Linked DNA regions of Rhinolophus ferrumequinum. The protein of the gene in region 4 purifies or fractionates together with the protein of the main gene of each other region. This does not show direct contact. Links are inferred from orthologs where the notes say so. Each region holds a gene or a part of one and is shown on either strand. Other genes may lie near its edges.

Region 1 (7,411 bases), on a different chromosome or scaffold from region 4:
CCCCTAACCATGCTTTATTTTTCTGTATGGTATTTATCACTTTCTAACATACTACATAATTTATTTATTGTGCATATATCTATCTTCCTTAACGTTTAAGATCCATATGCAGAGTGATTTTTGTTCACTGCTATACCTATTTCCAGCATCTAGAGTAGGACCTGTTATAAAATAGGTGTTCCATAAATATAAGTTAAATGATGTCTATTACTTTTAAACATAACAAATTATCCTCCATCCAAAGATTTGATATTCTGTTCCATTTTATTCTATTTATGTGTGTGGCTTGGATTATAATATTTAGGTCTTTACTAATCAGGAACTTATGTTACGTGGTCAATTTTTTTTCAAATACTAAATATTCCATCATTACTTATTAAATAAGCCTACACTCGCTTTAAAAACTAATTCCTCTGAGACTCTACTTTTTCAACTAAGCACTTCTTTCCCTTTCTACCCTATAAGTGATTCTGAGAGTAATTAACTATAAGAGAAATTCCATATTTGAATAAGATTTTGCATATCTAAGCTGAAAAAAATAATTATGGTAAAATATTTTACAAACATAATCTCAGTTACAAGGAATCCAGTCATTATGTAAATAGTGAATAGTTAGTTATGAGGAAGGCAAATATCAACTATCTATAAGCTATACTGTTTAGTTTAATCTTAGCAACCTTACAGGGTAAGATTATTATCCCCAATTGACAGATGAGAATGCCGAAGTTTAGAGATTACTGACATGCCCAATGTCCAACAACTAAAATGTGGCACAGCAGGATTTGCATATAAGTCTCTCTAGCTCCAAAGCCCGTGCTTTCCCCACTATACCAATGGCTTTCAATGGGGGCAATTTTGATATCTACCAGGACATATTTGGCAATGTCTGGAGACATTTTTGATTGTCATTCCTGGGGGGGAGGATTGCTATAATATCAATAGTGCCAGTGTTGAGAAACCCCGCACTATAAGTATCTTAGGACAAACTATTCATATGGCTTTCTTTAAAAAAAACATTTACATGAAGTAGATTAATAGTAAATCTTGATCAATCTTGATTGTGTCACTGGCAAAAAAAAATAAGTTGCAGTCAGTTTTTAAGCATTGTCTTATCAATATCTGAACCTCTGAATTTAGCTGACCATATGTTACAAAGATGATTCTCAAGCTACTAAGACTAAGCCTCACTATTCTTAAATCTACCACAATCACCTAATCTCTAATAGTCATGCACAAATCTACATCTGAATCTCCTAGTTCTCTACTGAGCTCCACACTATTTTTCAATTACATACTGCATCTTAAACTCACCATTTCCAAAGTACACTTATTTGTCCTCCTTTAGGAAACTTCTCTTCTTAGGTAGCCGTTTTCTGTTTGGGATGTTTCTACCCTCTCAGAGGCTAGAAACCTAGCCATCTTTGATGTCTCACTCTCTCTCACCCCCACAATCAATGAGTTCCCTCTATTCTACTCTAAACCTTCCATGCAAGTGCTACATCGTGCTCACTGGAGGCAGAGCCGAGTGGATAAAAGTTCTAAAACCGAACTGCACAGGTCTGAATCCTGGATGCCGCATAAAATCTGTTACTTTTGGGCAAGTCACTTATCTTTCAGCGCCTGTTTCCTTATCTACAAAATGAATTTAACAGTAGTACATCATGGGATTCTGGAGAGGCTACATGAGTTAACAGATGTAAAGCACTTAAGACAGTATCTGACACATAGTAAATACTCAATAAATATTAGCTATTATTAATTTTATTATTACTAGCTAAAAGTAAGGTACTTTGAAAGGTTATCCTCTGAGAATGCAATTGGAAAAAATCAAGGAATTAAAGAAAACATTAAATTTACTTTATTTTGGGCTACAAAGGTACCATAAACACACCAAAAACAAATGTATTAAACAAATGTCCTAATTTTTCTAAAAATATTTTCTTAAATAAAAAAGGGATTGGCCCTTTAAACTACTAAGAGAATTTACAACAATGTGTGATTTAAAAGTTTTAGTAATTTCCCAAACACAATAAAGGTATCCTGGATATAATCACTGACCAGCACGTCTAGATTGTGATAGCAAGAAAGAAAACTTCTGTAGAAATAAATAGCACCATAAAGGAAGAAAAAGTGTGTCCTGGAAAAGAAGATGCTCCTCCTTTGTACAAGAAGCGGAGTCCAAAGACACAAAATTTGGCAGTGTTGCCAACATGTTTCTGAGAAAAAGCTGTTTCTGATCCTCAAAAGATCCTTTCCCATCGCAGAGAATGATTTATCAGACATTCGTAGCTGGATCATATTGGCCAAGTCATTCAGCTTTCCCGTTCTGATTTTATCTACTCAAAATATTATATACCCAAAATGTTATCTTACTTAATATTTGGTTTTCTATATACTTCTGGCTGGAGGAACAGAATGTGCAATCACCAAAAATTAATACCTAGCCTGCCTGATACTTATATTTCTCAAGGTAAATTCGTGACCCAAATGCTACTTGTGATGGTTCAACCAGATGTAATCCCTGCTCTCCTAAAGCACTTTACTTATACTTCAACTATAGCACTTATTTTATTCATTCTGCCTCCTTAATGCTAGTTGTTTACATGTTTGTCTCTTCCACCAGACTGTGAGTACCTTAAAGTATATAGTCCCAATTCCTTTTTTGTTTCTAGTTTCCTCCTGTGGAAATTTAAGTTAGTTGATTCTTAAATGTTTGATGGATAATGAATGGATGAATAATAGCATCGTGTGGATATTCTCTTCCAGGTAAAGGCTGAAAAGTTTGCACAAAGATTATACTTACCTTATTCTTTTCATTCTGAATAATTTCTAATAGCTGGTCTATGTGCCCTTCATCTATGCATCTTTGTCCTGCTAACTGAAATAGACCAAAATCTTCTTCTTTGAAGTCTCGCTCTTCTAGGATTTGCTGGCAAACAAACAAACAAAAACCAAACATGTTTAGGCAAATAAAAATTCAATAATGACTTGATATATTTTCTCTCTGAAAAAAAGGAAATCTGTTTAAATTGTAGGTAAGTTACACATAAACATACGTATGAAAATTAGGATTAGCCTAATAAATACTTTAGTGAATGATCCTGAAATCCACTATATCAAAGAAACCTTTAATAAGGATTAAGATTAAAAATTTTAAAGGTTATTTAGAAAAGTATGTCATTTGGAGAAATAACCCAATTGCCTTCCTGCCCTATCACTATTTATACATAGGTCAAAAAAAGCAAGGATTAAAGAAGATAAACAATTCGAGTGACTACAAATATAATTAAAAATAATCTATGCCCTTCTCATATTTTGAAAGATATTTAACTTTACAAAAAGAAAAATTACTTACACATCTCTTTATTACGGATTGAAGTTCCTCCACAGCCATTCCTCCTTATTTTTCCTAGCTTTGAGACTGAAATGTACTAACATAAAACACAGTTAACTATCAGAAATATTACATTTAAGTATTAATAAGTGATATTTCATTCTGATGAATTTTTAAATACAATAAAGAAAATGTAGTTTTAATGCTGAAATGCTACTACTAAAAGTAGTCTGTTAACCTAAGAAAAGTTTATTTAAAAAAAAACTATTGCACCTTTTCAAGTTTTCTTAAACACAGCTTTGCTTAGTGTAGTTTTGAAAGATACATCCGAAAATAAAAACCTCTAGAGCACTCCCAAAAGGACGGCAAATAGGGACTACACAAAGTGCATTGAAAAGGCAAAGTGTTTCATTTCTGAAAACATTTCCAAAAGGTGGGCCTAAAATCAATTCTAATCAACAGGGAATTTCTCATTTTTTAATGTCCTACTTGACAAAAATTGAAGTCAACACAACTCACCCAGAATGGGTGGAAGTTCAGATGCCCTCCAGCCCCTGTGTGACCAGGACATTTCCCTTAAGAAATGAAGTACCCAAAATAATCAATCCAGTCAGTGAGATCAACCGGCGGCGCTCAGGAGAACCCCGTTCCATTCCCGCTGGCCATCGTTTCTCCCAGCTTGAAGGCCCGGCACCAGCTCCGCAGGAAGGGCGCGCGGGTCCGGGGGTCCTCACCGCAGCGCGCTCCAGGGCGGACAAAACCCCAGCGCGCGTGCGGGCGGCATCCAAGGGAAGCCATTTCTCCTGATTCCTGCTAGTCGTGGCGCTCGGGCCTCACCACTTCGCCGGGCCTAATCGGCCGGCGGCACCGCATCCTCCGCGGCTCAAGGCCCGCCGCGAGCCCCCGCCGTCCGGGACCTCCCGCTGCGTCCACTTACCCGCCAGGACTCTTGCCCCTTTCAGCGTCCTCCTCCACCTCCTCTTCTGGCCGCGTAGGCCGCTCTCCGAGCCCCGCCCCACTCCGGTCGGCCCCGCCCCGCGCTGCGCAAGGGGAGGCGGAGCCTCAGGGGGAAACTCTAGGGTCGGACGCGATAGTCGGACGACGCTCTCCATGGCTGAGTCGGCCTGGCAACCCTCCGCGGGCCGCAAGGCTGGGGCCCCGCGCCCCCGCCGAAACGCCGCAGGTAGGCAAAAGAGCCTCTTTCCACGTTTTGACCCCGAGAACTGAGCCCCTACAGGGTTCTAGATTAAGGCGCGCGGGGTGCTCCCGAAAAGCTTTCTCGGGGGTGGAGGTCTTCGGGGACGGAGAAGGCCAAGAGCTTCCCACCGCCGTCCTCGCGCCCCCTGGGAAAGACCTTCGGCCGAACCCCCAAATCTTTACACTAGCGTTCCAAGATTTTCCCCCAGATGGCCTCTGAGGGAAAGGACAGTAGAGTTCCTGGAAGCCTAGAGCTGGAGTCGCCAGAATGGGCAAGTGAGCAGGGCGGCATCAGCCAGCGGTGTGCGGCTGCCGGTGAACCTCCCATCGGTCCTTCCATTTGTCCTGCGGCTTTGGTGCCCCTGTTCTCTGAGGTATTGGAGAATCACCTCCCTTCTTGCCAGGGAGTGAACATTTGAGGGCCGGAGAGAGGCTTCCCCTAAAAGTACCCAGATTTCAGATTTTTCACGAGTGCTTAAGTATGCATCTATGATACAGGAGAAAATTCAATCCCGAAGGAGATACATGTTAACCAGGAAAAATTTGGGAATAATTAATTTACAAAAACAAATTGGATTCCCTTCCCATTTCATTTTAAATATGTGGAAAAGAAGAAAAGATGATATACAGTTTATTTGGGCAGGAATCTGTTCTATAACCTAATGTGTGCAGACTTGACTAACTTTGTTTTTTAATTTTAGGTACTAAACAGACAGGTGCTTTGAAACAGCAAGATGCTTCTAAAAGGTATGAAAACTACTTGGACAACTGCATTCACTTAGCTGTTTATCTCATATTAATTGAACCATTTTTAAAAACAATAATGGGTGCTACCTTAGAGAAATTTATTATGAGAAGGGGAAGATCTGAAAGCACTATAAATTCTCACATAGACAGTTATATCCCCCTACTCCATGCTTTAAGAAAACCAAATCAGACATTTTTAGGTTGCTGGTGAAGGTGTATGAGTATCTGTAGAAAGGTGTACATGGGAATAGACGTTCCTGAATTAACCAAGTACTCTTTTTCCACCTCTTTGTATACTCCTTTTTTTGCTTTATGTGTTAGAGACTCCAAGAAGCCTTGTCTGTCCCATGTTTGTATCATGTCCAAATTTTCAACAAGAAGTTGTCCTGTATTGTCTCTTGGCTTCTAAAAAGACAAGATTTATCTTCTGTCACAAAATGTTTCTAGAGTAGGAGTAGTCTGAGATGATTAAAAAATACATACCTGTGATACATCATTTTATGAAGTGTTGGCTTTGTCTTAATTCAATTAATCTTTCAAAAATATTTACTGAGTGTAAGATATACCAGACTTGTATTAGGCCCCAAGGATATGGTTTTGAACAGAATAGACATAGTTAACTAGTTGAACAGAGAAATACCAATTAAATTATCAAAAATAGATATATAATTACAAATTGTAATAAGTGCTGTAAAGGAGGAGGAGTAACAGGAGTCCAGGTTAGCTGGAGTTTTGTGGGTTTTTAGGGAAGGACTTTTGAGAACAGAATAAGCTGAGTCCTGAAGGCTAAGTAGACATTAATCAAAGAGTAGTAAGGAGAGACCTATAGTCAGAAGTGGGAGTACGTGTGACAAGAAAGGCACGGTCATTTAAAGAAAGCAGAGATGCCCAGGATGATGTGCCAGCATTCTGAGCAAGGGAAGTAAGGAGCATAGGAAAAGGTTAGAGAGGCAGGATTCCATTCATATAGACCTAATAGGCAATGGTGAGAAATTTAGATTTTCTAAGTGCAAATGGAAAAACTTTAAGTAATAAAGTAATGGAATTTAAGTTTAAAAAGTTTTAAGGTGTTAGGGGAGGTGATCATCTGGGAATGGAGAAATTGGATGAATTGGAGATCTGTTTTGGAAAGTACAGGCATACCTGGGAGGTAGTACGTGTTCAGTTTCAGACCACCACAATAGAGTGAGTTTAGTTAATATTGATAATGATGGTAATTTGCAACTTTCTTCAACACTGATCTGACCACAAACCTGAAGAGATTATATTTTATTTTGAGCAGATCATTCAAGATGATGAAACAATTAAAAATCCATGGGGTAACCAAATAGTTGTTGAGGGAAACGATCCTTTATAAATTTATTCCAATTGCAAAATACTTCTATATTCAATCCAAATGAATAGTTTTAAGCCAGAAATTAAAGAACTTTGCAAAAATATAAAATAATTCCACTATTCACACTAAATATTTTATTTTAATTTTTTATTGGGGAATATTGGGGAACAGTGTGTTTCTCCAGGGCCCATCAGCTCCAAGTCGTTGTCCTTCAATCTAGTTGTGGAGGGTGCAGCTCATTGGCCCATGTGGGAATCGAATCAGCAACCCTGTTCAGAGCTCGCACTCTAACCAACTGAGCCATCTAGCCGCCCCGACACTAAATTTTTATTTCAAAATGTTAACATGTAAATTGTATATTATTATTAAATGAATTAATAAATAAATGGTTTAAAATTTTCTCACTTTTAATCCTACTGTGGTAAATATAATGTACATAAGCAAAAGCTCGAATTTTAAAAGTACCAGGTCTGCCAGTTAAGTTCGCGAACTTGCCACTATGCACTTACATTGGCAGCATTGTACAAAGAGCTCAGTAAGGTTTCATAACTTTAGTATATCAGTGTCTCACAGCTGTGTTCATGTCGACGTGTGGCGGTGTCTTGCTAAGTGGCATTCATTATTGTTGTTGCATGTTTTTGTGTGCCATCTCGCGAATGTCTGTGCTTGAATTAGAGCAATGAACAAACATTAAATTTCTCGTTAAATTTGGAAAGAGTGGAAGTGAAATCAGGGACATGTTAGTCGAAGTTTATGGGGATAATGCTATGAAGAAAATTGCAGTGTACAAATGGATT
Region 2 (7,400 bases), on a different chromosome or scaffold from region 4:
TACTCAGAGGGCCGGCACGGTGACTCAGGTGGTAGGAGCTCCGTGCTCCTAACTCCGAAGGCTGCCGGTTCAATTCCCACGTGGGCTAGTGGGCTCCCAACCACAAGGTTGCCAGTTTAATTCCTCGAGTCCCGCAAGGGATGGTGGGCTCCGCCCCCTACAACTAAGATTGAACATGGCAGGCAGCTTGAGCTGAGCTGCCTCCCAGATGGCTCAGTTGGTTGGAGCGCGTCCTCTCAACCACAAGGTTGCCGGTTCGACTCCCACAAGGGATGGTGGGCTGTGCCCCCTGCAACTAGAAAACGGCAACTGGACCTGGAGCTGAGCTGCGCCCTCCACAACTAAGACTGAAAGGACAACTTGACTTGGAAAAAAGTCCTGGAAGTACACGCTGTTCCCCAATAAAGTCCTGTTCCCCTTCCCCAATAAAAAAAATTAATTAAAAAAAAAATCTCTTTACTTCTCCTGGGTCCGTGTTTCCATTCTTCGGTCTCACGAGACACGATCCTGGCCCACACCCAGAAACTGCCTGCAGATCCAACATCGTTTGGGGACTCAGAGGAAAAATATTCCTCCATCAATTCTATCACAGGCTCAGGAAACTCGGACGTAAGGACCCCAAGGGCACTCACAAGCTCTCTTCCCAATATGCCGTTCCCTGCTGTTTCTCTGCTGTTAATGTGTCCTCTTCCAGAGCCATTTTTCATTCCTTCTCACTGACCTGCCAAACAAGTGACAAAACCTGGTGGCTGTAACTCAGCAGCTCTCCCTGCAAACACTCCCCTCTGATCAGACAACCTCAGAAGTGGGGTCTTTATCTCCAGGTTCTCTCAGCCCTTAGCTGCCAGCATTGTCTTAAGCACAGATTAAATAAGCTCATACATCTGCTCAAAAACTTTTCATGACTACCCACTGCCTACCTTGCTACACATTCAAATAACCCGGTAAGCAAAACTCCCGATACTCAGATCCGACCCCAAACTAATTAAGTCAGAATTTTGAGGGATGGGACCGTGGTATGTGTCCTTTTTCAAACATCCCAGTACTGTTCCTTGGGGTTTTGCCACAAAGGACTCTTATTAAGGGAACGCACAGAACCTCAACCATGATGGTCCTCATGGCCGGAATGCCCATTTCCTCTTTACCTCGTGTCAAAACCCCACTCACCGTCTTCTTCCTCAGGTAGTCACTGCTGCAATAACACGGGAAAATGAATAATTGCAGATATCGTGTTTTAGAAGACATCAAGGCACTCTGGAGAATAAGAGGATGAAAAGAAAGAAAATCCCTGAGAGAGAAAACCTGTCCCCGGATAAACTGCCATCAGTGGCCCTTTTCTTCTCTCAACCATTCGCTGAGTATGGGCAGAGTCTGAGCTCGAGCTTGACAGATGGAGAGATTTGGCCAAAGGGGAGATAAGTCCTCTGTGTTGGCTTGTGTGATGGGCTGGACACAAAGGAGCCCCACATACACAGCTGCTTTTCCTCCCAGGACACTTGCTTAGTGCTGGGGAAGCATGTAGGGGTGGGGTTGTGGCCAGGCTTTCGAGACAGTGTGAAATGTACAGTTTGAGATAACTATGAATGAATAAATTCCCACCAGCAAGAGGGCCTGCTATTGCACACAAGAAGTCTTGCTTTCGAGATATTTGAAGCCAAAACTGGACTGAGCCAAACCTAAGACTCCAGCACAGCCCTGACAAAATCAATATTCTTGATTGTATTGAGGTGATCAGCCCTTCAACGTGTGTGCCCAAAGGAGAAAGGTTGAGGTGTTCTCTGTCTGTGCTTCTTCTATGCACGAGGTGTGGCATACTAATAATACAAACAATCCTGATACCTGTATCTTATGTTTTTGTGTAAGTTCTGGTGAGGGCACTGGGCCTGGTGAGCCAGTGCAAAAGGGAGGGAGGGAGACCAAGGAGTGAGTCCTGAGACGCTCCTTGGCACAGCACTCGAGAGGTGGCAAGAAGGCTTTTTGGAGCACAGCAAAATGGCCTCCTGAGGCTTCCATGACTGTTCAGGGTAAGTTTCGGGAGGGTAGCAGCTGAGAACTTGCAACTACCGCTAAATCTGAAAAAAGTATGTTTTTGTGACAGCTCGAGTGACCTGGGGGTGGTGACAGGGGCTGAGGTCCCCTCCTTTTATCAGGAAAAGGATTCAAGCATCACAAAAAAATGAAATGCCACCATGGCAAGGTAGGTAAGATAGGACATTACAGTCACCGTGTGGCTCAAGCATACAGAGGTGGGGAAGCGCCAACCACCTCATGGCAAAAACATGAAAATGGTGGTGCTGTTTTCTAAGGAATAGGGTCAAAATCACTTTAACAGAAAATATACTTTCACCAGAAGGGCTAGACCGTATTAATTCCAGAAAACGAAGCTCCTTTAAGCGAGGTGGACTTGCTTCTTGGATAACCAGAGAAAAAATCAGCAATAGCTCCATCTAGCTGGGCAGTGTGCCTTCCTTTAACACCTGCCAGGCCTGACGACCTGGGCTTGGAAAGGAGCTTCTGGAGAAGGCTGTATGGGAGGACCAGAGGTAAAGCCCCAGGTAACACAGGTGGGCAGAAAACAGTATTGACGTTGAACACCCTCTTCGGAAGCTCTGAAGTCCATGAGGCATTTTTTTAACACTCAGAGAAAATAAGTGAGGTTAGTTCTATTTACGTGTTGTAGGCCTACTCCTATTTTCTATTTCTTCAATTTCGGTATGTTTGTTTTTCTAGGAATTTTTTATGCATTTCACCTAAGTTATCTAACTTGTTGGCATACAGTTGTTCATATTATTCCCTTAGAATCTTTTTTATTTTTTGTGAGGTCGGTAGTGCTATTTTCTTTCATTCCTAATTTTGGTAATTCTCTCTTTTATTCCTGATCAATCCAGCTAAAATTTTGTCAATTTTTTAAAAATCTTTTCAAAGAACCAAAGAGTCTTTTTAATCTTTTGGCTTTGTAGATTTCCTCTACTGTTTATTTGTTTTATTTCTGCTTTAATCATTTCTTATCTGTTTGTTTTGGGTTTCGCTTTCTGATTTCTTACGGACAAAGGCTAGATTATTAATATTTGTTCTTAATCTTTAATATATTAGATATTTTAGCCACGTATTTCTAAGCATTGCATTAGCTGTAGCACACAAGTTGTAGTATATTTCTGTTTACTTTCAATCATAAACATTTTGCTGGTCTGATTTCCTTCGATACATTGGTTACTTATGACTACTGTTTAACATCCAACCAACTGTAAATTTCCCATGTTGGTTTCTCACTTAATGTCATGGTGCCCAGAGAAAAAGCTTGGTATGGTGTCAGTCCTTTTACACTTTCTGAGGATTGTTTTATGTCCTAGCACACAACCTGTCCTGGAGCAAGTTCCGCACGGAGGTAAAGAGAAGGAGCATGTGCTGCTTTGAGGATTCACAGTTGTTCCAGCCCGCTGTCCTTTCCGATCTTGCACCTCGTTGTTCCACCCGACGTTGACGTTGGGTATTGAAGAGCACAACTGCCACTGTCACTTGTCTGCCTCCCTGTCACTCTGTCAGTTTCTGCTTTCTGCGTCTGAGGCTCTGTCGCTGTGGCAGGTGCTCCGTCCACATTTCCCGGGGGCGGGGGGCAAGAGGGGAATTGCAGGTCTTTAATGGTTGTGAAGAATGCCCTTCAAGGAACCAAGAACGACCATTTCCATAAATTATCCCGCACTCAAAAGCGGCGAGAGCGCCGAGGTATCCCCACGCGCGGCCTCCGCAGGAGTGCGGCTCGGAGGGCGAGAGGCAGGGCCCGAGTCCGAGAACACCGCCAAACACATGACCTGCCGCGAGGTGCAGGGCCGGACGTCCATCGCCCTCTGACCCCTGCCTGGGCACTGGCATGCCAGGACCGCAGCTCCACGACGCCCGCTTTGCAAACCAAGACTCAGACTAATGACACCGGGTCTCAACACGTGATGGGACTGCCGGTCAGCGTCCGGAGTTGCATGCCGGGACTCGTAGTTCTCATGACGACCGCCTTAGCGCGCGAGGGGAATGTCGGACGGCGGCCCGCGTTGTATGCCGGGACTCGCAGAGCCTGACGGGGATACGGGGTATGGCAGTGCGCGGTGCATGGCGGGACTCATAATTTAACAACGCCCGGGCCTCAGCGCATAAACGGAGTTGTGGGACATTAGCAAGCGTTGCATACCGGTCACCTGTACTCATAGGGTAAACGGCGTAGGGACACTGTTCCCGCCGGACCCAGCCCCACGGGTTTGGTACTATGGCGCCTATGGTACCTGCGGCTGGCGCAGCGCCTCTCGAGGACAGTGCGGGCTTGTTTACACGCGGGCCGCACGGCGCACGCACGCACGCGACGTCACGTGACGTCATGCGTTGTCCCGGAAGTCGGCGCGGACCAGGGCGGCGGGTGGAAGCCGGTGTAGGAGTGGGAATCGCAGCGCAGCCACCGCCTCCGCCTGGGCCGGGGTCGCCCGCCCGCCGGCGATGGGCACCGTTGCCTGAGCACCCGTCTGCCGCATCTCCGCAGCGACCCCGCTGGCCGGGATGGAGGCGCCGCCCGCCGGCCGCGTTCCCGCCGAGGGCGTCCCGCCGGCGGCCGTGGCCGAGGTGCGCTGCCCGGGCCCCGGGCCGCTGCGTCTGCTCGAATGGAGGGTGGCGGCGGGCACAACCGTGCGCATTGGCTCGGTGCTGGCCGTGTGCGAGGCCGCCGCCTCCGCGCAGCCCTCCGGACCTGCTCCTGCTCGCGCCGGCTCGGGTGGCTGCGTGCGCGCCGAGCGCAGGCTGAGGTCGGAGCGCGCCGGCGTGGTGCGGGAGCTGTGCGCGCACCCGGGCCAGGTGGTGGCTCCCGGGTGAGTAGGTCGGGGGAGAGGGCAGCAACAGGGAGGGGAGGGAGGGAGCGCCGGGAGGGTTCTCTGGGCCAGGAAAGGGGACCGGCCCGGACACTAGGTAGGAAAGGGTCTCAGGGGCTGCGGCTGAAGGGGCTGCGCTCGGGGAGAACTTTGGAAGGTAGGAACACCCCCACCCCCCGCGGCTGCGCGGCTGCGTGCTTTTCTGAGGCTGCACAAGTCACCGCTTGTGATTTTTGTGTAGGAAATGGTTGTGTTCGTTTCTCTTCTGTAATCGCTGTCTCTCCCCAACACTCGGCATTTGTAAGTTAGGAAAACTCGGTGCGACGGCGAGTACTGGAAGAAGAGCACGCTCCGCGCTTGTCATCGCAGTATAAACAAGCTGTTGGGGCTGTCCTCTGCCTTAGGTGTCGGCAGCCTCGGGAGACGCGGTCGTAAAACCCGGCGGTGTGTGCAGCGTAGTTCGGGAAGGGGTGCAGCCGGTGACAGAGTGGTAGTGCCCCTCCTGCCACGGGCTCTAGCTGTGGGTGCTTATGTTTTCTCATGAAGGACTTTGCTTCCTCTTCTGAAGTGTGTGAACCTGTCTCCGCGCATACTTTCTGTCTGAGTTTACCGGGGTGGTGCTCTTGAGATCGGCTTGAAGTGTGGGCACAGGTGTGTTGTTTCATTGTCGGCAACAGGGAGCCAGGGCAGGGGGACATTCCTGCGCCCTGCTGTCGTGGCCGGTGCGCAGCTTCCTCGGCGGCGACCGGAGTGTGCCAGGTGCTCAGGCCCCTGTCCACCCTGGCGCTCCTCCGGTGGTGCTGCCTGCCCTGTCTCGGCTCCTCTCCGTGGGGCCTGCTCTCACCGTCCACCTGTTGAGTATCTCCTCCCTCCCGGACTCTGATGACCAGGGCAGGATGGGACAGGACCGTGCTCCATCCCAGCCCGGGACCCTCACCCTCGTCCACTCTCCCTCTCATCCCTTGGAGGAAGGTCCCTGGCCGTCAGCTCAGGCGCCCACGCCTGCCCCGTGGATGCGGGTGGGTGGGATGGATGCCACCTGGGAACTGCACCCTCACTGGAGCTGTGTGCCTGGCTTCCTGTAGGAGGGAGGGGCACTGTGCTCTGGGTGACACACTGGCATGCTGTCATCATTACTTTGAAGTCACCTGTTACCTGACCTTCGCTTGGGCGCTAATGAGCCTGTAAACGCACCAGCCTGTGAATGACGGAGACGAAGCCCAGTGCTGGTGCATCACCGTGTAGAAAACCCCAGAAGTGGAGAGGCTTCTCTGTGCCGCTCTGTCCCTCTGGTTGTACAGAGAAGGCCCCCGGGGCCCAGACAAGCTCGTCGGTGGGAAGCTCCACATGTAGTGCTGCGAGCGCATCAAGCTGGCCAAGCACATCCGAGTGACCAGTCAGTCCATTGTCTCCCAGTCTGCTGCATACCCAGTGTGATGACAGGTTCCCAGCTGTGAGTCGCTGCTGCTTTCAGTGTTTCAGTGTTTGAGCCTTGGGGTGCCCCACTGCAGGGGCCCATCACAGGCTCTTTGAGAATTTGGTGACTGACAGCGTTTCTCCTGGAATGTAGGTGTGAGCGAGCATTGCAGCTCCCGCGCAGAGCCCGGCACCCCTGGCAGAGTTGTTCGTTGTCACTGCCATCAGCAGGAGGCATCCTGGCCACAGTGGGCGGGGCTCACTCTCCACAGTGGACAGTTCTAGGAACTTAGGAATGCTGGCTTTCTACTGTACAGTTTCGCAGTGAGGACTTATGTTACTATTATTTGCCTTCATGTTCAGATTATCCCACCGTTGGTCAGTGGGAGCCCCTTCAAGCTGCCTCCTCCGACAGGGCCCCGTGTCGGAGCACCACCCTGCTTTCTGACGCAGTAGTATTCGGGCTCTAGCTCTCGCAGTCCCCGCCCTGGAACCAGCCATTAGGCCAAGAAGTGCTGTTTCCTTGTGATGGAGAATGGCATTTAGAGACAAAGAGCCGTATGCGCTGAGTTCCTTTTCCCAGTCCGCCCCTATCCTCAGACACTTCACGGTCAGCACAGATCCCTGATATGTTCAAGGAAGAGGGAGGTGGGGCCCACCCAGCCTAGTGTTTAACAGTGACCGCTCCCTAGCAGAGTTCAGGGCGCCCAGCCCCGACACTTCCCTTTCTGCTGTGGGCCCTCAGACCTCCCCATTACAGCAGACACGAAAGCTAGTGAAGACAGACATAGCAGGACAGTTTGGTATACAAGCAGGACTTGTGTATTTTGGGGGAAATAACTTGTTTGCAAAGCTCATTCATGATTTGCCTATGGATTTTCTTCAAGGACCAAGCAGAAAAGTTAACATTTATTGGTGACTGACTCGACATCCGGGTTGGTCTCCTTGGCTAAAGCGAGGTATTTTTGGACTCGGGGCACCACTCCCTTTCAGGTGCGGTGATACTCTCTGGAGGGTTGACAGAAGAGGTACTGAGACCCTCTGGGTACCTGAACCCGTCTGTCAGTATCTGCAGGGATGAAGCAAACAGCACACTCAGAGAGGACATTGCTCTCATGTCTTTTCTGATTACCTTTTCTC
Region 3 (7,513 bases), on a different chromosome or scaffold from region 4:
ACCAGAACATGTCTTCGATCTTTTCATTGAAAAAAATGGTTTGCTTTAGATTCAGGCTTATTTCATAAATTCCTATTAGAAAAATATTTTAATAAATTATTATGAAATGTTAAAAAATCATGAAAAATTGCTGAAATAAAGTGAATGTTAGCAGAGTAACAGTAATTACAAATGCATAAACTGGGCAGCCATGTGGCACACAGCATACAAAGAAAAGGACTGATGTATTCTACACTCTTAAATGGTTCATAGAATATCATGTAGTGTGTGTGTAGGTATATAAATGATATGGAAACATCTCAAAGATACGCTAAGTGAAAATAAGTAAGGATTTTAAATATAACTGGAAAAGTATCAATGACAGTTATATACAATAACATAGGTGAATCTCAAAATGCTGATAAAAACCTAGACAGAGGAATACATATGCCATCTATATAAAGTGAGCAAAACGAATCTATGGTGTTGGAAGTCAGGATGTGGTTATCTTTGGGAAGGGTAGTTACTGAGGACACAAAGGTGGCTTCCAGGGTGCTAGTGGTATTTGATTTATTACCTGAGTAGTAGCTCTGTGTACTTTCTCACCTTGTGATTGAGCTGTGCACTTAAAATGTGTGCTAACTTCATTAAAAAAGTAAAAAGGCAGCAAACAGTGTTTACATTAAACATTTTGGAAGGGGAAGAGAGATGAAAACTATATGCATATGTTTGCTCAAGCATAGATTCACTGGGAAAACACCAAGAAACTGGTTTTAATCTCTGCTTTGGGGGAGAATTAGAAGGCTCCGAGCTAGGGAAAGAGGCAGACTGGTTTTCACTTTTCGTTTTGTTTTTATACCATGTGTGTATGTGTTACCTATCCAAAATAAAATGAAACTATGCTAACTTTTAATCAAATTATCCACAAAAGTAATACAAAAGAGGAACCATAGAATGGGGTGGTGGGGGAAGTAAGGGTGAGAAATACTGCGGAAGGGAAGTAAACAACCACCCCTAACATTTAAAAAAATGAGACTACCTAAAGAGCTAGATAATCCCAGCCTCAACTGTATAGCTGTACCTTACTGGGTGCCTACTGTCTAGTGTTATACATGTATTATTAATCCCAACACCAACCTCGCAAGACAGGCACATTATCTCTATTTTAAAGATTATGCTCACAGAATGATTTGCTTCAAGTCACAGAATTAGTAAGTAGTGGAGCTTAAATTTGAATTCAGAATTTGAATTTGTGCTCTTCTCTGTGAAAGCACTAGGCAGCTTCATAGTCTAGTAACTGGACATCTTCCTCAGGAAAAAAATAGCTAACGGTAGAAATACTAACATTTACATTTGTTGTCACTGGTAGAAAAATTCAAGAGCTGGATAACTGCAATAATACACATATTTAAGAGCTGGGTATGTCTAGAAAAAGTTTATTTTCAAACATTTTTCTAACAAACGAAAAAAATAAAGGCAAAGGAAAGTACTTTTGGGTAAAGAATTTTATCAAGTGAATTTACTAAACTATTGCCCCATTTCTTTCAAATACAATTTCCTGTTCTATCACATGTAAAAGCTGTGTCCAAATGTGAGCACATTCACTTTTCAGACCTACTGCTATGAAAGACTTGTTAATTCCTATTTAGGTGTCTTTGGGAAGCTGAAGTTTTCCATTTAACTTACAAGGAAGCCTTACCTGACAGAGTCACGCCCAGATAGAATGACTGAGTGTTCAATCATAGAATCAAAATAAATAAACAAGAGTGTCATTGACTTTAAGAGTTATTTCCAAACAGGCCATTAGCTAAAGCTGCCTCCCCACCCCCTTAAAAAAATACAGTAACATAAAATAGTGAGTCTTGGCAGTTACCAGAAAGAGCCTGGACATACATCTCCAACTCACTGTTTGTGATAATGGCTTTCATTGGAAACTCAATTCCAGATCGTAACAAGTTCAAACAATTATGCCAGAACTGCCGTTCAAAAGCTACAGAACTTAATTTGATACTTTTAATACATTATGAGTTAACTAGAGACCCATCCTATGATAACAGGAAATAGATAAGAGACTCTACACTCACACTCATCTTGGGATAGGCAACATTGGCATGACTCAGTTTACATTCATACAAAAATACTATCTACCTCATAGTGTTAATAAGAGAGATAACTAGGGTCTGCAAGCATTTTTCAGGTCACAGGATCACAGGCTGTCTCTAAGGGCACTGCATACATTTCCTGTAGATGAGTCCACTGCATTTTAAAAATTTGTTAAAGACTGACTTCCCAGCATATGTAAATAATTTTCTGCAGGCCAAGATTTTCTTCGGGGAAATGAAGACATTTGTAAAGAAATCGCTCAGAAGAGAATTTATCAAATCTTCGGAAATGCCGCAACTTCCACTTCAGAGGGCCTCTGGGATGATAATCAATTTCCATCAGGCTTAGCAATACTGACGTCCCCAACTTTCTAGCTGTCAGGTTGATAGGGGCCTGGAACTAACCCTTTCCCGCTCTTTGGAAAGGAGGAATCACGGACCCTCGAGATGATTGAGCCATAAATGGAAAAACAAGCGTAGAAAAAGTAAAAACAAAAACGGTTGAAACATACGCAAAAGACGCGAGGCCAGGGGCTGGGGATATAGGGGCCCCCACAGGGTGATACCAATGCCAGGGTGAGAACGCGACCAAAGACGCCGACGGCTCTGTACCCCCTGCGACACCCCTGACAGCCGTGCCGTCTGGAAGTGTCTTTGTCCAGGTCGGCCAACCAGTCCTGCCGCCTCACCCTGTATCTCCGGGACGTTGTGCCCGACGCGGCAGCCCCGGCGGCCGCCTGGCACTCTCCGCCCGCCCCTCACCTAGCCGGGCTCGGCGGGACATACTAACCGGCTGGTAGACGCCATCTTCACGGCCACTGCGGTTCCAGCGAAAAACAAGAGAGAGAGAACAGGAAGAGACTGTGGCGACCAGACGCTCCGAGCCGAGCTTTATAGGCGAGTCTCCCACGCAGTCGCAATGGGGCGTGGCTACGGATCCGGAGAGGGGCCAAGAAAAGTGAGATCGGGTATGCCACGTGCTTTGCCTTTTATTTTGCTGTTTGGTTTCTGTAGCTTGTTACGTTGCTGGGCGAAATCAGCGAAACTACCCAGGAAAACTTTCAAAGGAACCCTGCAGACGGGCTACCCCTGAGATACCCTCAACTTGACTCAGTTAAAACACAAAGAAAGACAACCCTGGCATGGTGTTGGGGGGAAAAGCCCACATTCCGGAGGGCTAACTACCCTCCCCCCACCCGGAAGTCGGTTACTCCAGTTGGGCTTGCAATTCTTACTTGCTAGGTGGGTAATTCCACTAGGGAATTTGGAATTAAAAGAGAAATTAACTTGGGTTAGCCAGACCGGTATCAATTTAGGCTCTGTCATCAAATAGCAAGCTGTGTCTTCTTAGGCATATCCCTTCTCCCTTCGCTATTGGCGCAAAGAGTAATAGTATCTGCCTTGCATACCCTTTTAGAATTGGCAGAAGATGAAACAAAACCATGAGAGAGCACAGTACACCCGTGAGGCAGGGAGATGTGGAGCCCTATCCTGATTGTTTTTTTTCCCATGGCCTTTGCAAATTTGGCTGATAGCTGAAATATAGAGAATTTACCAAAACGTTTAGATATCCCTAATTAGTCAAATTAACGTCAGAAAAGTAACAGTAATAATAACACTACCACCACTTTTCTGAAAACAAGCCACCCTTAACCCTGTGGAGATAGGAAGAAAAAGGGTGCTCCCGGTTTCTATGGGGATGTGGACTTAGAATATAGTGGCTGCTTTGTTCATTTGGGTATGGGACTTAAAATTCCAAATTCCAGTGGAATTACCCCTTTAGGCAAGTAAGAATTGCAGACCAACTGGAGTAACTGATTTCCGTGTGCGGGGAGAGTAGTTAGCCCGCGGGAATGTGGGCTTTTCTCCCAACACCAAGCCAGGGTTGTCTTTGTGTTTTCACTGAGTCAAGTTGAGGGAGATTATCTCAGGGGTAGCCCGTCTGCAGGGTTCCTTTGACAATTTTCCTGGGTAATTTCATTGATTCGTTCACTAAGGTAGCAAATCACACTGAGCACTGATTGTTTTGTTGAAAGGTGGGAAAGACTTGCTTCCTTAGAAAGGAAAAGGGGTGTAAGAGACAGGAGTTTAGGAAGCGAAATCTAGATGGAGATTTGAGAGCTTTTTTTTTTTTTTTCAGCCCTCCAATCTGTAGTTTAAAAACTTGACTATACTATTGTGTGTGTGGAGGGGGATATTCTCCTTTAATATTGGGGAAAGAGTCAAAAATGCCAATTCATTTAACCTGTGCCAAGTGCAACCAGGAGCGTGGTTGGTGGGGAGCGCTTCTTCCCAATCAGGCAGGAAGTTGTTATAGTAGAGCACCTTGATATGGGAAAAGAAGAGGGAGAGGAGGAGGAGGACAACTGAGTACCTTTTGAGGATCAAGAATAAGGACCTACTAACGAATGGATTCATGGTAGGCGTTCCATAATGTTTGTGCAAGGAAGAAAACACCAGAGAAATTGACACTCCAGAGGAAGGAAGCTGGACAACCGGCTGATTTACTCCTGCCCAACCTGGAGAGTCTCTTACCTGACATAACCTACTAGTTAGGATTTCTATTATATTAAAATAAAAGCCGCTTAGGTAGATTATTCCTTTTTCTTTATTTCTACAGCATTGGCAATTTATATTATAAAACATTTTCATCAACATTATCCCATTTTATCTTTATATCTGATCCTGAGATTAACACAAACACACACACAAACTGGGGTTTTATCACCTAGGAATCAATAACCCAGACTAGCATTTACCAGAACTTCTAGTTTGTTAGTGTCATTATTTTTATTTAATTATCTGGATTAATTGAAATAATTTATTTAAATTAATTATTTAAGTTAACTCATCTATTTGAACTTAAAAATTTATTTTAAGTTTATATAACTAATGTGAAATCACAACTTGTGCTAAAATTCTTTCTTCTAAACTATAAAATGTTCGACATGCCTAATAAATGGTTTCTTTAAAGTTTGTGACCCACCTAGATATATCTTTTTTTTTAATGTTTTGAGGTGTAAGTATATACCACAGAATTCACCTTTTTTTTAAAAAACTTTTATTCATTTTAAGTGTGTTTTTCCAGGACCCATCAGCTCCAAGTCAAGTAGTTGTTTCAATCTACTTGTGGAGGGCGCAGCTCACAGTGGCCCATGTGGGGATCAAACTGGCAACTTTGTTGTTAAGAGTACCACGCTCTAACCAACTGAGCTAACCAGCTGCCCTGAATTCACCTGTTTAAAGTCAATGATTTTCAGTAATTTTACCAAATTGTGCAACCACCCCCACGATCCAGTTTTAACACGTTTCCATCATCCCAATAAGATCACTCATGCCCATGCAGAGTGATTGCCTATTCCATTTCCAGCCCCAGGAACCACTTACCTACTGTCAATCTCTATAGGTTTGCCTTTTCTGGATTTTCCATATAAATGGAATTGTATGATATATTGTGTTTTGTGTCTGGCTTCTTTCAGTTGGCATAATTTTGGAAATTAGACATAAGTTGGCATTAGACTTACCTTGCAGCCTCACTTTTGGAAATAATGATATATAAATGTCTGTTATAAAAGTGTCTGTTGGAACAGATGACAATTTCCATAACCTAAGCAAGGTTGGATAAATATTTGTTCGGTAATATATGACATATTCAGAAAGAATGAAGGATTCAGTGAAATGTATGACCTGGTCTGACTTGGACTCTTTTGGAAATGGGATGAAATGTCTAGAATATTAGACAAGCCTCATATGCCTGATGGCTAAGGAGCCATCTGTACTTCTTCTAAAAATGTGAAGGTATAAATTTTTTTCCAATTTTTTTATATCACGTATGAAGTTCAAACACACTAACCATTAGAGAGAATATAATGAATCCTCATGTGCCTATCATCCTGATTAAACAATGTGAAGATTTTGCCACATTTGTTTCATGTGTCCTTTATTTCTTTTTTCTCCCTTTGGTAAAATATTTTAAAAACAAAACTCCATATGTCACCTTGACTCATACATACTTTAGTGTACATTTCTAAAAAATAAGGACTTTTAAACCTTTTTAATATAGCATATATAGCATTATAAAACTGCATTACCAATGATTTGTTTACACACCAAGTTTTCAGTTGGTGATCATCCTGGGCATGCTTCTCGGTGTTTGGTTTCACTGGGCAGCAGAGAAGTCCCTGTTAAGGTGGCAAGGAGTCAGAAAGTGGACAGGGAGGGCCCACATGGAGCTGCAAGAGCTAGTTGAGTTCTTGAAAGTAGACCTAAGTAAGGTCCATATGCATTGAGCCATCTGTTAGGTACCTCACATTCATTATCTTATCGAAGTCTTGGTTATCATGTCAGGCAAATGTGATTATTCTCCTAAAGGTTTAGAGATGTTAAATAGGTAAACTTCCCAGGCTCATGCAGCAAGTTACAGGTGTAGGTAGGATTCAAAGCCAAGAATGATTAAACTCTCCACTTCTATGCTTGCCTACTCTGTAACCGTTATTGCAAGACTATATTTTTTAGACCCAAATTAACTGTGCCCTGGGAAATACAGATTATATTTGTAGAAGCATTCACGATCCTTTTTATTCTTTAATAACAGCTATAAAGCTTTATTAAATTCAGGTAGAAGTAGTAATAAAAATTAATAACTATGGTAATAATAGCAAACACTTACATAGTGCTTACTATGTGCCCAGTACTATTTTAAGACTGTATATATACGTATTAACCCATTTAATCTTTCTAACAATTCTATGAGTTGGATACTATTATTGTGCCCATTTTATGGATGGAAAAAATTGAGGGTACAGAATGGTTAAGTTACTAGCCTGAAGTGACACAGCTCGTAAATGACAGACCAGGGATTTGAAACAGTGGTAATTCTGTTTCAGAATCCATGAAGTATGCCTCTTAATAGAACTCAGTATACAGAAATTTAGATTTAAAGATTTTACGATCAGGGAATGGATTCAATAAGCAATGTGCCTACAGCATTCATGTGGGCTTCCTATTTGGGGGCAGCTGTACTCTAAATATCCTGGCCAGCTGTCTACTAAGGACACTTGTGTTTGTCAGACCATGTGATACACAAACAGAAATGTGCCTGGCTTATTCCCTTTGCTAAATACACTTACATATGTGATTCTGAATTTATTTTTTCCATTTGTTTATTTATTTGAAACCTTTGATTCCCAGTAATTGCTGGCGTCTCCTCCATTTGAGAATACATACAGGTTTTCACTAGAAAAACCAGCATTTCTTTGAAATGCTAGAAAATAGAATATTGGCTTAAAACATTAATAATCTATAAATAGAAAATATTAACTGTCAGTTATCTGCGTACAGAATCAGGGAGGTGATTGCTAGAAATTAATTCATTTTTTAATTCAATGTTCAGTGAGCAGTAGTTTCCTTTTAAACTTCTAAATTACTCTGAT
Region 4 (7,596 bases):
GGATGCTGTGTGTGGGGCTCCTGAGGGCCACTCCCAGGGGCCCTTTGGTCTTGGAGACAGGCACTGGCAGGCGAGGCCGTGCCTGCCTGACCCTCACTCTTCGTCTGCCTCCAGCCCTCGAGGACCCACTGGCCCAGATGCTGCAGGTTCTACAGGATCTCCAGGAGGCCCATAGCCGCAGCCCAGCCAGCTCTGAGCCCTTAGAGCCAAACTGCCTCCTGGAGCTACAGACGTGAGGTCTGTCCCACACTCTCTTGCCGAGCCCCCTGCCAGGTGCTTGGAGATCTCGGGTGCACTCTTGGTCCTTCACCTCAGTTCCTCTCATAGGGGTGCAGGACCCGAGTCTTTCCCGAGCTGGGGGAGTTTGGGAGGCCAGGGACCAGAGCGTCCAGACTTCAGGAACTGACAGGACTTGAGCCTGTCATTGCCCATGCAGAGTCTCTAGGGGACTCGGGCATCTGCTTCTCTGTGAGGCCTGGTTGCTCCCTGTGGGCCCTGCAGCCATCACCACCACTAGTCCAAACTCTCCAGGACCCTCCTCTCCTGCTCAGGATAGACCCAGCCAGAAACTATCCCTAGGAATGGCCGCACCAGGTGGACTGACACTTCCTGGGACTCAGAGAGGCGGGAGGGAACACAGGCCCCAGGAGACCAGGCCTGGACCTCAGCACCCACTTTACTCTCAGGCACCACCCTATCTGCTCCCTCACAGTGGCTGTGCCCTGGGAGAGCGTCACGGTGCTCTATTGCCAACAATAAACCTGATGTGACTGCGGCTCTGGGGTCTCGTGATGGGGGTCGGGAGGGAGTGGGCCCGGGAACCCCAAAGCCTGCTGGTGGTGGGGGGGGGGCACCAGCATAGTCTCTCTGCATCCCCGTCTCTTCTTTGCTTCCCCATCTCCCCTTTGCTTCCCCATCTCCCAGGGGGGCCTCCTTTCTCCTTCCAGCTGCTCTCCCCACCACGCCCCTGGTTCCCCTTCCTCCATCCCCCACAGGCTACAGAGCCTGACTTCGTTCACCAGCTGTTCTCTCCTTACAGCCCCCAGACAGGCCCTTTTTCCAAGTGTCCTGAAGACTGCACAGTGGGGGCGGGTTCAGAACCTGGAATCACGTGGCCTGGCCCTGGAAAGCGTCCCTTATGCCACCCTCCTTAGCAAAAGCAAGGCTCCTCTGCTTGTCACCTCCCTGTCCTCATCCCGCTCCATCTAGGTACACAGTAACCTCCAACATAATTAACAAGACTTGAGGGGCAGGGGCTTCCAGCACGTTCTTTGAATCTCATCCAACCAAGCTTCAAGCCTTGCCTGTGAATACTAGGCCTAGCACAGTTCCCAAGGGCCTGGGTCACAGGCAGGCCCCCTGACACAGCTGACCGGCCAGGTCCTGGGGCAGGGCCATCTGGGCTGGCTGCATAGTGGGTTCTTTGAGAGATGGCAGAGAAAGCAAAGGGGGCATGAAGGAACAAGGGGCTGCCCTCTTCCCTCTACCCTATGGCATTTGGGGCCATGGTGATCCTTTCTGGCCACAGCCTTGATGGGGGTACAGTGTCCTCCCATAAGCAGCCCACCAACCCCCGCCCCTTTATATGTTCATTGCCTCTTGGTCATGATGCCACCATCCTATGGACCTTACGAGCCTCTTTGCAGGGCTAGGTACCCCCCCACACACACACCTGCCTTCTTAACCCAGGGCTTGGGTCCAGCGCTGGATGAGCCCCTGGTTCTCTGGCTACTTCTTTAGAGTCACACAAATCCTTGTGCCTGTTGGATCTTCTTGGGTTTCAAGGACCTCAAAGGAAGTGTAGACCCCACTGTCTCCTGAGCCCTAGTTCAGGGAGTGAAGGGGAAAGAGGTGTGCACTTGTTGACTGCAACAAGTAGAATTCTGGATTTTAACAGCGCGCATACACCACCCACTGGCAACGCCCACCACCCTGTCCTCCAGTGGACACCGGTGTGGACGTGGCCACTGCAGCCAGAAGGGGAATTCAAATGAGTAAGGGCCTGGGACTGCCTCCATCGCTCATGTACCTCCACCCACAGAGTCGCCTCTCAGGCTCCGAGCCCCGGATGCCACATTGTTTTAGGAAGCCACCTGGGAAAAAAGGGACAGAGGAGATGCCTGCCTGCCCATGGCACAGGAAGGTGCCAGAGGTCACACCTACCTGCCCAGGGATTCTATACCAACACCCCCCACCCTGGGATTGCCAGGTCTGTTATTCACCCAGAGCCTGCGTCAAGTCCCCCAGATGTCTTAAGGGTCTGATTGGACCCTCCCACAGAGCCCTGCTGCCCAGGAGGCAGGCTGGCAGCGCAGGGCAGGCATCCTGGGAAACCCTGAGTGGGTCCAGCTCACATGGTACGTGCATCTTTCATCCTCTGGGCCTGTCCTGTAGGAAATCTGGGCAAATTCCCACCAACTTCCTTTTGGAAAAGTGTAATTCCTGCCAAAACGTAATTTTCAAGTACGTAAAAAGAAATAACTTACACAAATACAGAATAAACGTATCAGATATTTACACATCAAAGAGGAAATGAATGTTTGGTAAAGCTGGTTTGTAGAGCACTTTGAGAAGCTAGGTATTTGTAAGCATTTTGAGGAAAGAATGCTACAATAGGGCAGGCCCCGTCGCGGTGCAATTCCCACAGGGGCCAGTGAGCTGCGCCCTCTACAGCTAAGTTGTGAACAACAGCTCTTCCTGGAGCTGGGCTGCCGTGAGCGGCTGACCGATGACTGGCGACCGACTGCCTCAGCCGGGGTAGGGGGGTGGGGGGGCACAGGCTCATAACACCAGCATGGGCCAGGGAGCTGTGTCCTACACAACTAGACTGAGAAACAATGGCTTGAACTGGAATGGGGGGGGGAGGCAAAAGAGGGGGGAAAATAATACTAGAATAAATTGTGATGTTAAAAAACTGGGAAATGGAGTTTTCTTCTCTATGGGATACAAACCTACAAGTTCATAAATAACTTCAGTTTGATGATAAATAAAACATCAAAGTCAAACACAGGTCCATTCCCCAAGATTAGGGATTTTAAAGGCCCAGGCATGCAAGTTTTGGTCATAATTACTCTCAGAGCACAAAAGTAGCCATAGACAATGAGGAAACAAATGGGCTTGGCTTACTCCAACAAAACTTATTTACAAAAACTTGGCAGGCTTGATTTGGTTCACAAGCCCTCACCGTTTGACGATCTCTGCCATACATAAGTAAGCCTTGGTCAGGCCTGTTCAGCCACGCTCCAGTGTTACACTGACAGAACATGCCACACACACCCAATATTTATCATCACACGTCCAGCAGCCCCTTTCGCAGTGTGCCAGGCAGGCCTGTCTTACCAGAAGATAGGAACGGTCACTTGGCCTCCTCTTGGGGCACACCAAAATTGAGCCTCTGAAGGCTCGATTCGGGGAGGGCTGACATCTTCTGAAGCCCAGAATCTCGTGTTGGTCTGGGAATCAAAGGGTGAGTACGACCAGAACTCCCCAAGAGAGGACAGACTTCCACAGTGGAAAGAAGGGTGAAGCCTCTGCTGGGTAAAAGTCCTCTCCCCACCCTGTCCAGTTAAGGGCGGCCAGCCTCGGCACCTCCAGGCCCCTGCAGTCGTGGCAATGGTAGCATCCTTGGTCCAAACATTTCCAGGATGATCCAGGAGGGTAGGGGTGACAACCTTGGGACATCATTACCCTCATTGCCTTCTATTCTTCACCAGTTAAAGAGGCCTCCACCCACTTGACCTGGAGAGTCAAGGTTTCTGTAGATCTCCAGTGAATGAGGCTTCCTTACCCCAGGGCTCAAGGCTTAAGTAGGAAATGGCCCTTCCCAGGAAATGGTAGTAAAGTTCCAGATTTCCTTGGGGGCTCCTTGGCTGCTGCTCAGACCTAGGAAACAGCTGGGAAGCTGTTAGGGCTCCAGTAGCTGAGACTCCAGCCCCTGTTGCTCCAAACAGCTCAGGTAGGGCCTGTATACTAAGCTGTAGTCTGCAGGATATCAACCCAAACGGACGGTACACCTATCCCTCGCAGCGCCTCTCACACCTCTATACACCTGCCGTCTCCCTCAGCCCTCACCCAACTGTCTCCCTAATAAGCTCACTAGGACACAAGCCTACTTGGCAAGCCAGTGACAACACAGCCAGGGGCCTTGTAGCAATCTGCCCAGGCAGCCTTAGCAGGGGGCTTATCCGTACATAGCCGTCTGGCTTAAGGGATGGATACCCACGAGCCTGTGAGGTTTCTGTCAGCCCCACCAGACACACCTATCCACTGCCCCGTGGCTCCATTGTCCACTCGGGGACCTCTTGCTGTGCACTCCAAGGGCACATTTCCGAAGAGGGATCAAGGGACATAGGGAGAAGAGAGGTGGAGCCCAGGGCTGCCGCTTAGCCTGCACGAGGAAGTCAGTGCGCAGAGCAGCTCCCCGCTCTCCGAGCCTGCGCCACAGTGCGCTCCCAGGGGGGCGAACGCCACAAGGGACCTTCGCGGCTCACGCGTGCGCAGAGCCAGCAGCCGGCCCGGGCCCTCCGCGCGTTCTCCCGCCTGCGCGAGATCCCCCAGTCCAGTAGGGGGCGCCGAGCCGGGCCGTACACGTGTTCGGCCCCGTCGGCTAACCCGGAAGAAGTCGCGGGAAAGCGCCCTGGAGGTAGTGGAGAGTCTGCAGGACGCGGCGGCGCCAGGATGAACGCCCCTCCCGCCTTCGAGTCGTTCTTGCTGTTCGAAGGCGAGAAGAAGTAAGTGGGCAGGGGAGGGTCAGGCCTTCGACTGTCGGTCGTGGGCGTCTGCAGAGTCTGGGGCTTCGCCTGCTCTCCTGCGGGGCGGGCGGAAGCAGCTGTTGCTTGAGCTTCGGCGCGCAAAGCGCCCGGCGCCTGTGTCTGCCAGACTTCAGGTAGTCCTGCCAAGCGGTGGGGACTGTTGCCTTTGCAGCTGAGGAAACTGAGGCTCAGAGAGGTTACGTAATTCCCCGGCACAGGAAGTGGCGGGTCTGTGTTGGAACCCAGAATGGCTGCCTCCGAAATCCTTTTCCCCTGGGATTGGCAGCCCCCTCCTCGGCTCCTAGCTGACCACCTTTATTCTCCTTGCTGAAGCCAGAAAGAGATGGCTGTTAGACTCATGTGCAATCTCCATTCGCTTGTGTAAAACCTTCATTGCTTGCAGGCTGAAGGAAAATGTAGTCTGCTGGTCAGACAGCCTGGGCTTGGCGCCTGCTTCCCCCGCGTAAGGACCCTTGTTTGGGCAAGTGAATTAATCTGCCTGAGGCCCACTTTCATCATCTAGAAAACGGGCTTATTACTGTATTGAATTATGAGTAAACCTAAGGGGAGATTAAATGAGGTAACTTATGTGAAGTGCTTAGTCCAGGGCTCAGCATCTAGAAGACCCTCTTAAACATTGGCTTTTCATTCTCAACAGCCTGGTGTGCAGGGCTCTATGTTTAGCCCTTGCCAGCCACTTCAGCCTCCCTTGAGAGCAGTGCTTCTCAACTGGAGACTATTTTGCCCCCCCTCCCCGCCCCCCAGGACTTCTGGCTATGTCTGCAAACGTTTTTGGTTGTCATAAAGGGTGCGCTCCTGGCATCTAATGGGTAGAAGCCAGGAATCCTACAATGGACAGACAGCTCCCTACCAAAAAGAATTATCTGGCTTAAAATGGCAGTGGTGCCAAGGTGGAGAAACTGTGCTTTAGGAAGAAGGAGCAATCCGGAGGAGGTGAGGGTCCCACAGAATCGGCGTGACTGGGCTCAGAGTATACACTAACTGCTGCTCTGAGTCAGAGAGGCCTTTATGGGATGAAGAGATTGCGACAGGCTTCCAGGAGGTGGGACCCGAGCCTGCCTGGAAGGGCAGGCTTTAGACTCGGAGGAGGAGGGAGCCCCTGCCCCCATCTCTTGCCTCTGCGTCTTCCTAGGATCACGATTAACAAGGACACCAAGGTACCCAATGCCTGCTTGTTCACCATCAACAAAGAAGATCATACGCTAGGAAACATTATTAAATCGTAAGTTCCAAGTCCAAGGCTCTTGGGGGCTGTGTTGGATGGGACTCTGAGGCAAAGCACAAGTTCCAGAAGATTTTCTTAAGTCTCTTTGAGCTACAAGAAGTCCTTCTGATGGCTCGCTCTGGCAGTTCACTTTCCAGTACCTTTTCTTCAAAGGTACTGGAATCTGTTCACATAGCCACATTTCCTTTTGGCTCATTTATCTGACTGAAGTGAGTGAATGAATGTGCAGGAAGCCGCAAGTAGGCCTGCTTGTTTTTGTGCCTTTCTCAGGTTTGCGTGTTTAGGGTGTGGGCAGAAGCCTGCCTGGTGTCCTGGTGTAAGTAGGGGGTGGGGTTGCCCACCTGTCTGGATGACTCCTGCCTGAGCCAAGCCAGTGGGGCACTCAGGGTCTTTGGGGGCCTTGCTGCTCCTCTGCTGTGAGCTGTGTCCCTACCTTGCAAGGTGCTCACACTTGACACCTTGCTCTGCAGAAAACACCCGCGTGTCCAGCAAACAGCACAGGCTTCACCTCACCACCACCTCACAGAACAGCACCCCACGGGTGTGGGCAGCTGCCAGCCCCTTCCAAAGGACTTCGGTTTCCATTTTGCTAACTGCTCAGAGCTTGGGGCCTTCTCCCCCTGCTGCCTTTGTTTGCCGTGCCAGAGGCTCTTTTGGGGCTAGGAACGGGCCTTTTGTGTTTTGGTTTACTGAACATTGGCTGGATTTTTACTGCCTAGGGAGGTCTTTTTGGGGTCATTGCAGGGTCCCTGACTTCCCCTCGGGAAAGAAGTTACTGGAAAACCTGTTTATTAGCTAAGGTTCCTGATCCTGATGGATGTAGGGGTGTGTGTGGGAGGAATCACCATATGGTATATCTTCTCCAAAGTTAGCTTTTACTTGAAGACTTTTTTGGCGGGGGGCAGGGGGACAACTAAAAACCAAGTGTAGGGAACCACCTAGTGTCAGCCCCCAGCCACATCTGCAACAGGAAGACCCCTTGGCTAGGCCTGGTAAGCTCCAAGGGGCCAGAGCGCCAGGGGCACTCGGCTCAGCCTTGCTCACTGCTGACCCGTGTCGCAGGCAGCTGCTGAAGGACCCCCAGGTGCTGTTTGCTGGCTACAAAGTGCCCCACCCTCTGGAGCACAAAATCATCATCCGCGTGCAGACCACCCCGGACTACAGCCCCCAGGAGGCCTTCACCAATGCCATCACAGACCTCATCAGCGAGCTCTCCCTGCTGGAAGAGCGATTCCGGGTGAGGAGCTGGACGTGCAGGGGGAGAGGGGAGGTGGGAACGCCAGCCTGTGTGCCCAGAGCTGCAGGGCTGTCGTGCCCACACCTAGGACCACCCAGGGTTGTTTCCTCGGACTTGTGTGGGGGGAAGGGGTGATGACAGCAAGGACTTCCCCCACTGCTTCCCGGAAGTGTGGAGAAGGGGTTAGGAGTTGAGGCATGGCGCCTGCTGTCGGCGTCCGTGCGCAGGAACGGACCTAGTGCTCCAAGGTCTCCTTGTGCACTCTTGGGGTCCCTGCTGCCCCCTGCTGCTGCTCCTCCAAAGCTCTTCGCTGGTGCTGGCCGCTTCTAGGGCATCTGTCTAGGGGGCAGCTCATCCTAGGG

The links.
Region 1: the proteins of POLR2J (region 4) and RPAP2 purify together in Homo sapiens (affinity purification with mass spectrometry; 5 studies listed by BioGRID and IntAct, with this or other methods). This does not show direct contact. The link is inferred for Rhinolophus ferrumequinum from reciprocal best matches to the Homo sapiens genes POLR2J and RPAP2.
Region 2: the proteins of POLR2J (region 4) and CTDP1 purify together in Homo sapiens (affinity purification with mass spectrometry; 4 studies listed by BioGRID and IntAct, with this or other methods). This does not show direct contact. The link is inferred for Rhinolophus ferrumequinum from reciprocal best matches to the Homo sapiens genes POLR2J and CTDP1.
Region 3: the proteins of POLR2J (region 4) and GTF2B purify together in Homo sapiens (affinity purification with mass spectrometry; 3 studies listed by BioGRID and IntAct, with this or other methods). This does not show direct contact. The link is inferred for Rhinolophus ferrumequinum from reciprocal best matches to the Homo sapiens genes POLR2J and GTF2B.

The regions. Positions count from the first base shown.
Region 1 is NC_046292.1:69,719,436-69,726,846, forward strand, and holds the start of RPAP2 (putative RNA polymerase II subunit B1 CTD phosphatase RPAP2), read left to right. Parts: upstream 1-4,391; 5' UTR 4,392-4,444; coding exon 4,445-4,517; intron 4,518-5,232; coding exon 5,233-5,278; intron 5,279-7,411. Other genes in the region: GLMN (glomulin), read right to left, coding at 2,804-2,929, 3,356-3,394.
Region 2 is NC_046302.1:60,190,579-60,197,978, forward strand, and holds the start of CTDP1 (RNA polymerase II subunit A C-terminal domain phosphatase), read left to right. Parts: upstream 1-4,539; coding exon 4,540-4,844; intron 4,845-7,400. UniProt on the Homo sapiens protein: Processively dephosphorylates 'Ser-2' and 'Ser-5' of the heptad repeats YSPTSPS in the C-terminal domain of the largest RNA polymerase II subunit. This promotes the activity of RNA polymerase II.
Region 3 is NC_046292.1:67,093,076-67,100,588, forward strand, and holds the start of GTF2B (transcription initiation factor IIB), read right to left. Parts: upstream 3,003-7,513; 5' UTR 2,889-3,002; coding exon 2,872-2,888; intron 1-2,871. UniProt on the Homo sapiens protein: General transcription factor that plays a role in transcription initiation by RNA polymerase II (Pol II). Involved in the pre-initiation complex (PIC) formation and Pol II recruitment at promoter DNA.
Region 4 is NC_046290.1:92,243,686-92,251,281, reverse strand, and holds the start of POLR2J (DNA-directed RNA polymerase II subunit RPB11-a), read left to right. Parts: upstream 1-4,580; 5' UTR 4,581-4,677; coding exon 4,678-4,730; intron 4,731-5,904; coding exon 5,905-5,994; intron 5,995-7,059; coding exon 7,060-7,234; intron 7,235-7,596. Other genes in the region: RASA4B (ras GTPase-activating protein 4B), read left to right, coding at 115-236. UniProt on the Homo sapiens protein: Core component of RNA polymerase II (Pol II), a DNA-dependent RNA polymerase which synthesizes mRNA precursors and many functional non-coding RNAs using the four ribonucleoside triphosphates as substrates.